Linked DNA regions of Drosophila melanogaster. The protein of the gene in region 2 interacts with the protein of the main gene of each other region in a pairwise test. Each region holds a gene or a part of one and is shown on either strand. Other genes may lie near its edges. The genes, in order: psidin and CG4194.

Region 1 (3,926 bases), on a different chromosome or scaffold from region 2:
AAGAAAGAAATATACAAATCGGCCCTACATTACTATCAGCTCGGTATTATTTTTTATTATCTATAAAAAGATAACATCGGTGTAGCCCCTGAATCTTTGCAATAATTAAAATAATAACAGTAGAATGGGCAGGAATATATAACATTTAAAGATTATTAAAAATTCCAATACGGACTACATATATTGCACGAAATCGATTGTTGGCTAACACAAAGAGAATGCTGTGCCCATATGGCAGCAATAAAGCTAAGTCAGATTCGCTACTGATTTCGAAATGTGTACTTTCGTTTAATGCTTCCAGATCTATTGGTGGTTTGGGGATGATGTCACTGCTGGTGGTCTCACCGTTGGACAAGCAGAGTATATACACCTGGCAGCCTTGGCGCTGCGTCAGCGAGTAGATCAGCGGTCCGAAGAACATGCACTCGTCATCCGGATGGGCGGTGATCAGCAGGACGCGCTCCATGCACGCCGTTTTGGGCAGCCGGACGCTACGCAGCCGTATTCCGGACTGAAGGGCCTGCTTCAGGCCGCCAGGACTCCGATTGCCATCCGAACTTGGGTTCAGCTCTGCCCCCTCGCCCGACCCGGCATTGCTGGTGTCGTTGCCGTTGTGGTGGGCGTCCAGTCCCGATCCCGATCCGGCTCCCGAGAGCCAGAAGGTGAGCTTGTAGAGGCCCAGGCATACTAGCAAGTACACCGCACAGGCGATCAGTACGTGCTCCAGTGCTTCGGCGGATGATGACCTGATACGGCAGTAGATGGCCTGAGGATTGGGGACGAGCTGCTGCACCTGCTGCTGCAGTTGGCGCCACGGGGATGTCGATGCAATGCTGCTTGATATGCTGGCCACGTACTCGCTCAGCCAGTTAAATCTCATCGCTCATTGCGTCCGGCCAAGGGCAAGATTTTTGGCGAGAAATTCTTCACCAAAAATGGACATGCAGCGCAATTTGGCAGCGAGGAAAAGCGGAAAAGCGGCGATAACGGTGCTCGGGCGGTTACTTAAACTATTTCACTAAGTGGATGTGTTTCTTAATCGGTAGTTTAATACTTCAAAACGTTTGGTTACGAGCCCGCGCGCCGCCTAATCGGCTAATCTCTGCATTTTATTCGAAAACTTTACGCGTTTTCGACTTTCGGGGGCAGCAGCTAGAGATGGGCAACTGGCGTGGTGCGTGGCAGGTGCGTGACTCACGCTGACTCATTCACGATTTCTAATCAACCTGTCCGGTGCGCCGTGCAACTACAAAGCTTAAATTATCTAATTGGCACTCGAATAAATTGATAAACTCTTTTCTGCCATTCATCGTTCGCTGGCAAGCTACCATTCGTGAGAATATATCAGTCCATCTCTATCGCTCAGCTGTTGGACAAAGTGCCCAGCGGTAGGGGTACTCTTGTCACTGTTTTTATAAAATCTTAAGTTTTTTTTGAAAACTTAATCTGAAATATAAAGAATTACAGTTATGAACATTTCTACTTTTTGAAGAATATCAATACTTTGTTGATCATAGATAATAACAAAATTACTAAAAACTACTATTAGAAATTCACTTTTGTACAAGACATATTCTAACCTTAAAATTCTAAGCAGAATGATTGAATGGAATTTTAAAAGTTTCCCAATAAGAGTATCTTGATGGCTTAAATTTGTGATTTGAGCGAAGACCCCTAATGTCGGCATGCTCTTCTCGAAAAATACCAGAAAATACTGGAGAAAATACAGGGGCCGCTCTCTTCTCACCGAATATGCAGTCTGAGGTTTTTTTTATTTTGAATAAAATTTAAAGTCACTAGTTTCTATGAAAATAAGCACATAATTAGCCTACGACCGTGTGATTCGAGTGCCCGAGAGCCAGCCGCCCGTCCCCGACCGCCCAAACACCGAGGGCAACCCAAGGAGAGCCCCCAAACGATTGCAGGAAATTAATCAACGGCAGACGACAGCGTGCCGCAAAACCCAAAAGAGAGCGAGTCTCAGTTCGAGGTGCATGCAGCACGTTGTAATTAGGTTAGCAGCATACAGCAGCACCACATAACACGATAACATGGCACAGCAGCAGGGCATGGACTCGGCCCTGTTCGAGCGGCGACTGCGGCCGGTATACGGTGAGTGTGTTGTCCGTGTCCACGGCGGAATGAGGCGCTCCATGTGCCGGGTCCACAGTCTCACAGACTAACATCCCAATCCTTTGCAGACAACCTGGAGGTGGGCAACAATCGCAAGGCTCTGCAGGAATCCGAGAAGTTGCTACGCAAACATCCCAACCTGCTCTGCGCGCGGGCATTGAAAGGCCTCTCGCTCCTGCGACTGGGACGCTATGACGAAAGCCACGGATGCCTCCAGACCGTTGCCGAGGAGAAGCCCACGGACGACTCCACGCTGCAGGTGCTGTCCTTCTGCTACCGCGAAATGGAACAACGTACGTATGGGTAAACCACCGGCAGGGCTGATGTACTGAGCCCACGTGGAGCCACCGTTTGCTGGGGATTAGGTTCAGTCAAATGCAAGATTGATAACGTACTAAGCATGGTCTAGGAGGTACATTACCTCAAGTAGAAGTTATTTAGGAGTATGATATAACCAACTAGCCATAAACTCTTAAAGCACGAACCTAGTCTCTCGTTCTAACGCGATGAAGAAGGGCACCAGCCATCAGAAATAACTAATTTGTTCACAAGTAGCTCCTGATAGGCTATAAATTATTAGTTTCATTTATGAATTTGACTTGTGAAGCACACTTTTAAGTTATGAAGAACCTTTTGTAAGTTAATATCCAATTTTAAATCTAAAAACGAAATGCCTGTGTGAGGCAAGGACTCATTGTATGTATAGATAATAATTAAGGATTTAGATTTCTCCTTTCAAATGTGTAAAGGTTACAGGCATTCTAGAATTGAAATTTTATAAAAAGAATAGCTTCCTTATCCATGAGTTAAATGCTTGTATATGTATGTATATGTATATACAAAATATTTTAAAGTATAGATTTAAAGATAATATTAATATTTACTTAAGTTATTTAAATACGAAACCATGGTCGATCAAAGGATACAATTTGTTGAGCTTTTTTAAATTCGATTGACGAATACAAAGCAACATTTTTAAGTAAGAATGTTTCTTAGCCACATCTGTGAATCCCCTAGAGACGCCCCTGCTACGCACACGAAGTGGCCACAATTCATATTTTCGTATTTTCTTGGCACGCGCACCTCGCCCGACTAATTAAAATCGCATTCTCTTAGTCGGACGACGAGTGGCAAGTGCGTGCCAACGATCTGAATATATAGATACCTGTACCTGCGAAAGTTGAAATCGCTAATAATATATAAATATCGGCCTCTTTGCAGTGGACAAAATTGTGGAGCTGTACCAGCACGCTGTGAAGCAGAATCCGGGCAACGAGGAGCTCCTCGCCCACCTCTTCATCTCACATGTGAGGGTGGAGGACTACAAGGCGCAGCAGGCGGTGGCCCTGCAGCTGTACAAGGCGCAGCCGAAAAATGCCTACTACTTTTGGTCGGTGATCAGCGTAGTCTTCCAGGGAATCCGTGGACCGGAATCGGCGCTGCCCGAGAAGCGGAAAATCTACTTGGGACTGGCGCAACGCATGGTCGACAAGCACATCAAGGAGGGCAAAATGGAGACGGAACAGGAGGCCTTCCTCTATCTGCACATACTTAAGCTACAAAACAAGTACCAGGAGGCGTGGGAATTCCTTACTGGTGAGCTGTGCGCGAAGCTGTACCCCGGTGCTCCAGTCAGCATGAAGTTCGAGCTGCTCAAGGAGCTGGGAAACTGGCGGGAATTGAATGAGCTGCTGCAGCAGCTGCTGGACGCAGAGTGAGCTTAAACAATAAGTTCATATGTATAACTACGTTTTCTAAGTTTTATTTTTTATCCCCAAGTCGTGATCGTTGGG
Region 2 (3,535 bases):
CAGCGGTAATACACATTAAGTTGATTATTTAGCGAACTTGGGGCAACGGCTGGCCAAGCTTCTTTGTCCAGTCCTCACGGGTGGCCGGGTCTTCGATCTGGCCACGACCGAGGCACTTGCCCTGCGAGATTAGCTCGGCAAACTGGGCCACAATCGGATCCCGGCCGCACGAAGCCACCGCTGTCACCGTATCCGCCTCGTTGATGAAGTAGGCCACAAACTTAAAGTCCTCCATGCTGCCGTCAATGATCACATCCTTGTAAGAGCCATGCCCGGCATACCGAATTCCCTTGCCGAAGATGAGGGTGAAAAAGAAGGGCACGGCCTCCAGCTTCTTTACCCCGCCGCACATGTTGATGGCCGCCACTCGTCCATGGTATTGAGCCAGCTGGTAATGCCCGATGTTCACGCGATCGTGGGCCAGCCCGTGAATGTGGGCGTTTGCTATATCACCGCCCACATACACATCGGGTACATTGGACTCCAGGAAATCAGTGACGTCCACGGATCCGTTACGATTTACCTTCACGCCCGACTTGGCCAGAAATTGGGTGTTGAGCTTGGAGCCAGTGCCCAAGATCAGCAGATCGCAAGGCAGACGCGTGTCATCTACCAGCACCACCTCTGATACCTTGCCGTCTTCGTTGCCAACGATCTCGGCGATGCCGCTCTCCATGCGCATGACCACCTTGTTGTCCTCGAACAGCTGGAGCACCCTCTGACCAATCTCCGCGCCGAATGCGGCCTTAAGTGGGACGTTTTCACGACCCACAACCGTGACGCTTTGCACTTTGGAGACCAACCCAGCAGCTGCCTCCAAGGCGATAAAGCTCGATCCCAGACAGACGACGCGGGACTCCGGGGTGATCGATGCCAATATCGCCTTTGTATCCGCCAACTCTCGGACAGTGCGGACGTTCTCCAAGTTAACACCGGGAATAGGCGGCCGGAAGGCGGAGCAGCCTGTGGCCAGGTAGATTTTATCGTACTTCACCACGTAGCCATTGCTGCAGTGCAGCTCTTTCTGAGCGGTATCCAACTTCTCGGCGGCGACTCCTTGCCACAGTTCGATATCGTACTCTTTGTAGAACTCCTCGTCGCGGAACCGCAGCTGCTCGATCTCAAGGTTCATAGCCTTGGAGATCTTAACGCGATCGTAGGGCAGATAGTCTTCGCGGCACACAAAGATTAGGCGCCCAGTAAAGCCCTCCTGTCGGATGGTTTCCACGGCTACAGCGCCAGAAGGACCACCGCCAACCACGATGAACACTCGCTGATCGTCGGGCTTGCGTCGGACCATGTTCTTGAGTCGCTTGTTATTCACCAGATCCGATCGCTTTGCACGGAGCATCACCTGTCCCTCGTTACCCACTTCCACGCGATAACATGGCAGGGAATCGAGACCAGGAAAGTCCTCAATGTCTCCGTTTTCCAGGTTAAAGCAAGCGCCGTGCCAAGGACAGCGGACACGACCCAAACCCAAAGCTCCAGTCTGGAGCGGAGCTCCGTAATGGGTGCACTTAGCACCCACTGCTAGCAGACGATCGTTCTGCTTCACGAGCAGCACGCGGGTGTCCTCATCGAAGTCCACCTGCTTCATTTCGTTCTCCTTCAGATCCGTAACTCTGCAGTCCACGGGGACCGCACTTGTGTACTCCGAATCCGGCGAAGACTCTTCCGTCGACATGGTTGTACTGGGACTCTGGTTGCTGCACTTGGACTGGTAGGAACCCACGGCACCACCTGCCGAAGCCATCATGTAAAGAGACAAGCAAAGAGAAACGGAGATAACAATACAGATAAGAAGAGTGTGTAGGTGAATGGACACATCAAAATTTTCCAGTTTTTCTCCAAGGGTCCAAGGGAAATTCTGGCACCGCTTGCTGCTCAGGTAGAAACAACAAAAAACGAATATCAGTCGAGAAAATGCTTCGCTCGCGTTCAGAAGTCTTTGTGTGTTTGCTTATGATCCTGGGATCAGTTCTGGTCCGTTCGAATCTTGGGAATCCTCAGGAACTGGAGCTAAGTGCGCTGCGCACCCACAAACAGCTATTGCAGGCGGAGATCGCACGTCTTTTTTTAGAGCAGCCGCTTCGAGCGGAAACTCAACTTCTGCTGGAAGATCTACAGCTAAGAGATCATCAAATAGGCGTTCAGATAGAAAAGCTCGAGGAAATCTCCAAGGGCGAGACCACGCAGAGGCTGGCCATCAATCTAACGGCTGACTTTGAACACCTGCAGCATAAATTGGATGATTTGAAACGACAACTTGAGCTGCTCGACGGACGCTTTGCCTCCCAAGGGAAGCAACTGGAAGGACACTCGTCGGAAGGCGCATCGCCGGCTGGCCCCGGATTAGGTTCCTTTTTGTGGGGACCCTTGCTGACCATGCCAGAGTTTCCACAGGGCAGTGTGGCCAGCGACCAGCAACATAACCACCACCAGCAGGATCATTCCCCGGATCCGCAGCAGGATTCCAGTCCCTCTATCATTAAAAGAGTGCTGGACATGCTTAGGCCATCCATAGGAGTATCAGGTCTGCGGAGTCGTTGGACTGAATCCGCAAAATCAGCTGCAACGGGCTTGGCAACACCTAAGCCCACTCACCCACTTAGTGCTGAGGAGCTCCTACCGCAGCTGCAGGAGCAGCGCAGGTTTCTGGACGATGCTATTACGCGACTGGAGCTCTTGGCCGTCAAGAAGGGCTCGAACAAAAACTAAAATATGTGGAAAATCTAAGTAAATCAAACACTTAAATCCATCTATCCAAAAGTTGAGCTTTGAGATTAAACAGAGGATCAATATTTATTTACTTAAATTGCCAGAGATCATCATTCATAACCAGATTCGTTGAGTCACTGTCAAAAATTCAGAGAAATTATACTATACCAAATAAGTAAAGTTCGTTTCATAATGATTTGTGACCATTTCCGAAAACAATTGAACTAAAATTAGATTGAACAGTCACCTTAATGAAAAGTCTAAAGCAATAAATACTAACTATCTTTAAAACCATGATATGTAATTGTAAAATTGTGTGTGTCAGGGCACTTATTTTAAGCAACACCGAGGATAGGGTAGCAGCTGCCTAATTGCCATCGATGGTTACCTGACCACAACAAAGCGGATCCTAGCGACAAGTCCGAATCGATTGACTCATCCGACCTACTGCAATGTCACGTCAACTAGGCATACCTAAGAACCTCAAGTTGCTACGTCATCAAGAAAAGCCAGGCGGTGAGGAAAACACCTATTGTATAAAGCGTAACCGTAACACCTGTAAACGTGTGTCGGTTCTGTTCTGATATGGCGATAATGTCTACACGCCCCTATCTCAAGTGACTGGCTTTATGATGTATGGTAATATGGTATCGCTGGTATATGTATCGCCGATATGCCCATGATAGAGGAGCTGATGATTCGGCTTTTTGCGGACGGAGGCGTGCTGATCGGAAATCAAACATTTCCATCGAAGCAGCAAACATGAAAAACAGCAAGTCATGAATTACCCAGCGAAACAGATGTAGGGACAACT

The links.
Region 1: the proteins of CG4194 (region 2) and psidin interact in a two-hybrid assay, tested with the Drosophila melanogaster proteins (one large-scale study listed by BioGRID).

What each region holds. Positions count from the first base shown.
Region 1 is NT_033777.3:20,020,003-20,023,928, forward strand, and holds the start of psidin (phagocyte signaling impaired), read left to right. Parts: upstream 1-1,701; 5' UTR 1,702-2,051; coding exon 2,052-2,112; intron 2,113-2,201; coding exon 2,202-2,426; intron 2,427-3,354; coding exon 3,355-3,847; intron 3,848-3,912; coding exon 3,913-3,926. Other genes in the region: PIG-L (phosphatidylinositol glycan anchor biosynthesis class L), read right to left, coding at 346-880.
Region 2 is NC_004354.4:2,066,681-2,070,215, forward strand, and holds CG4194 (uncharacterized protein), read left to right. Parts: upstream 1-1,911; 5' UTR 1,912-1,926; coding exon 1,927-2,721; 3' UTR 2,722-3,008; downstream 3,009-3,535. Other genes in the region: CG4199 (uncharacterized protein), read right to left, coding at 29-1,743.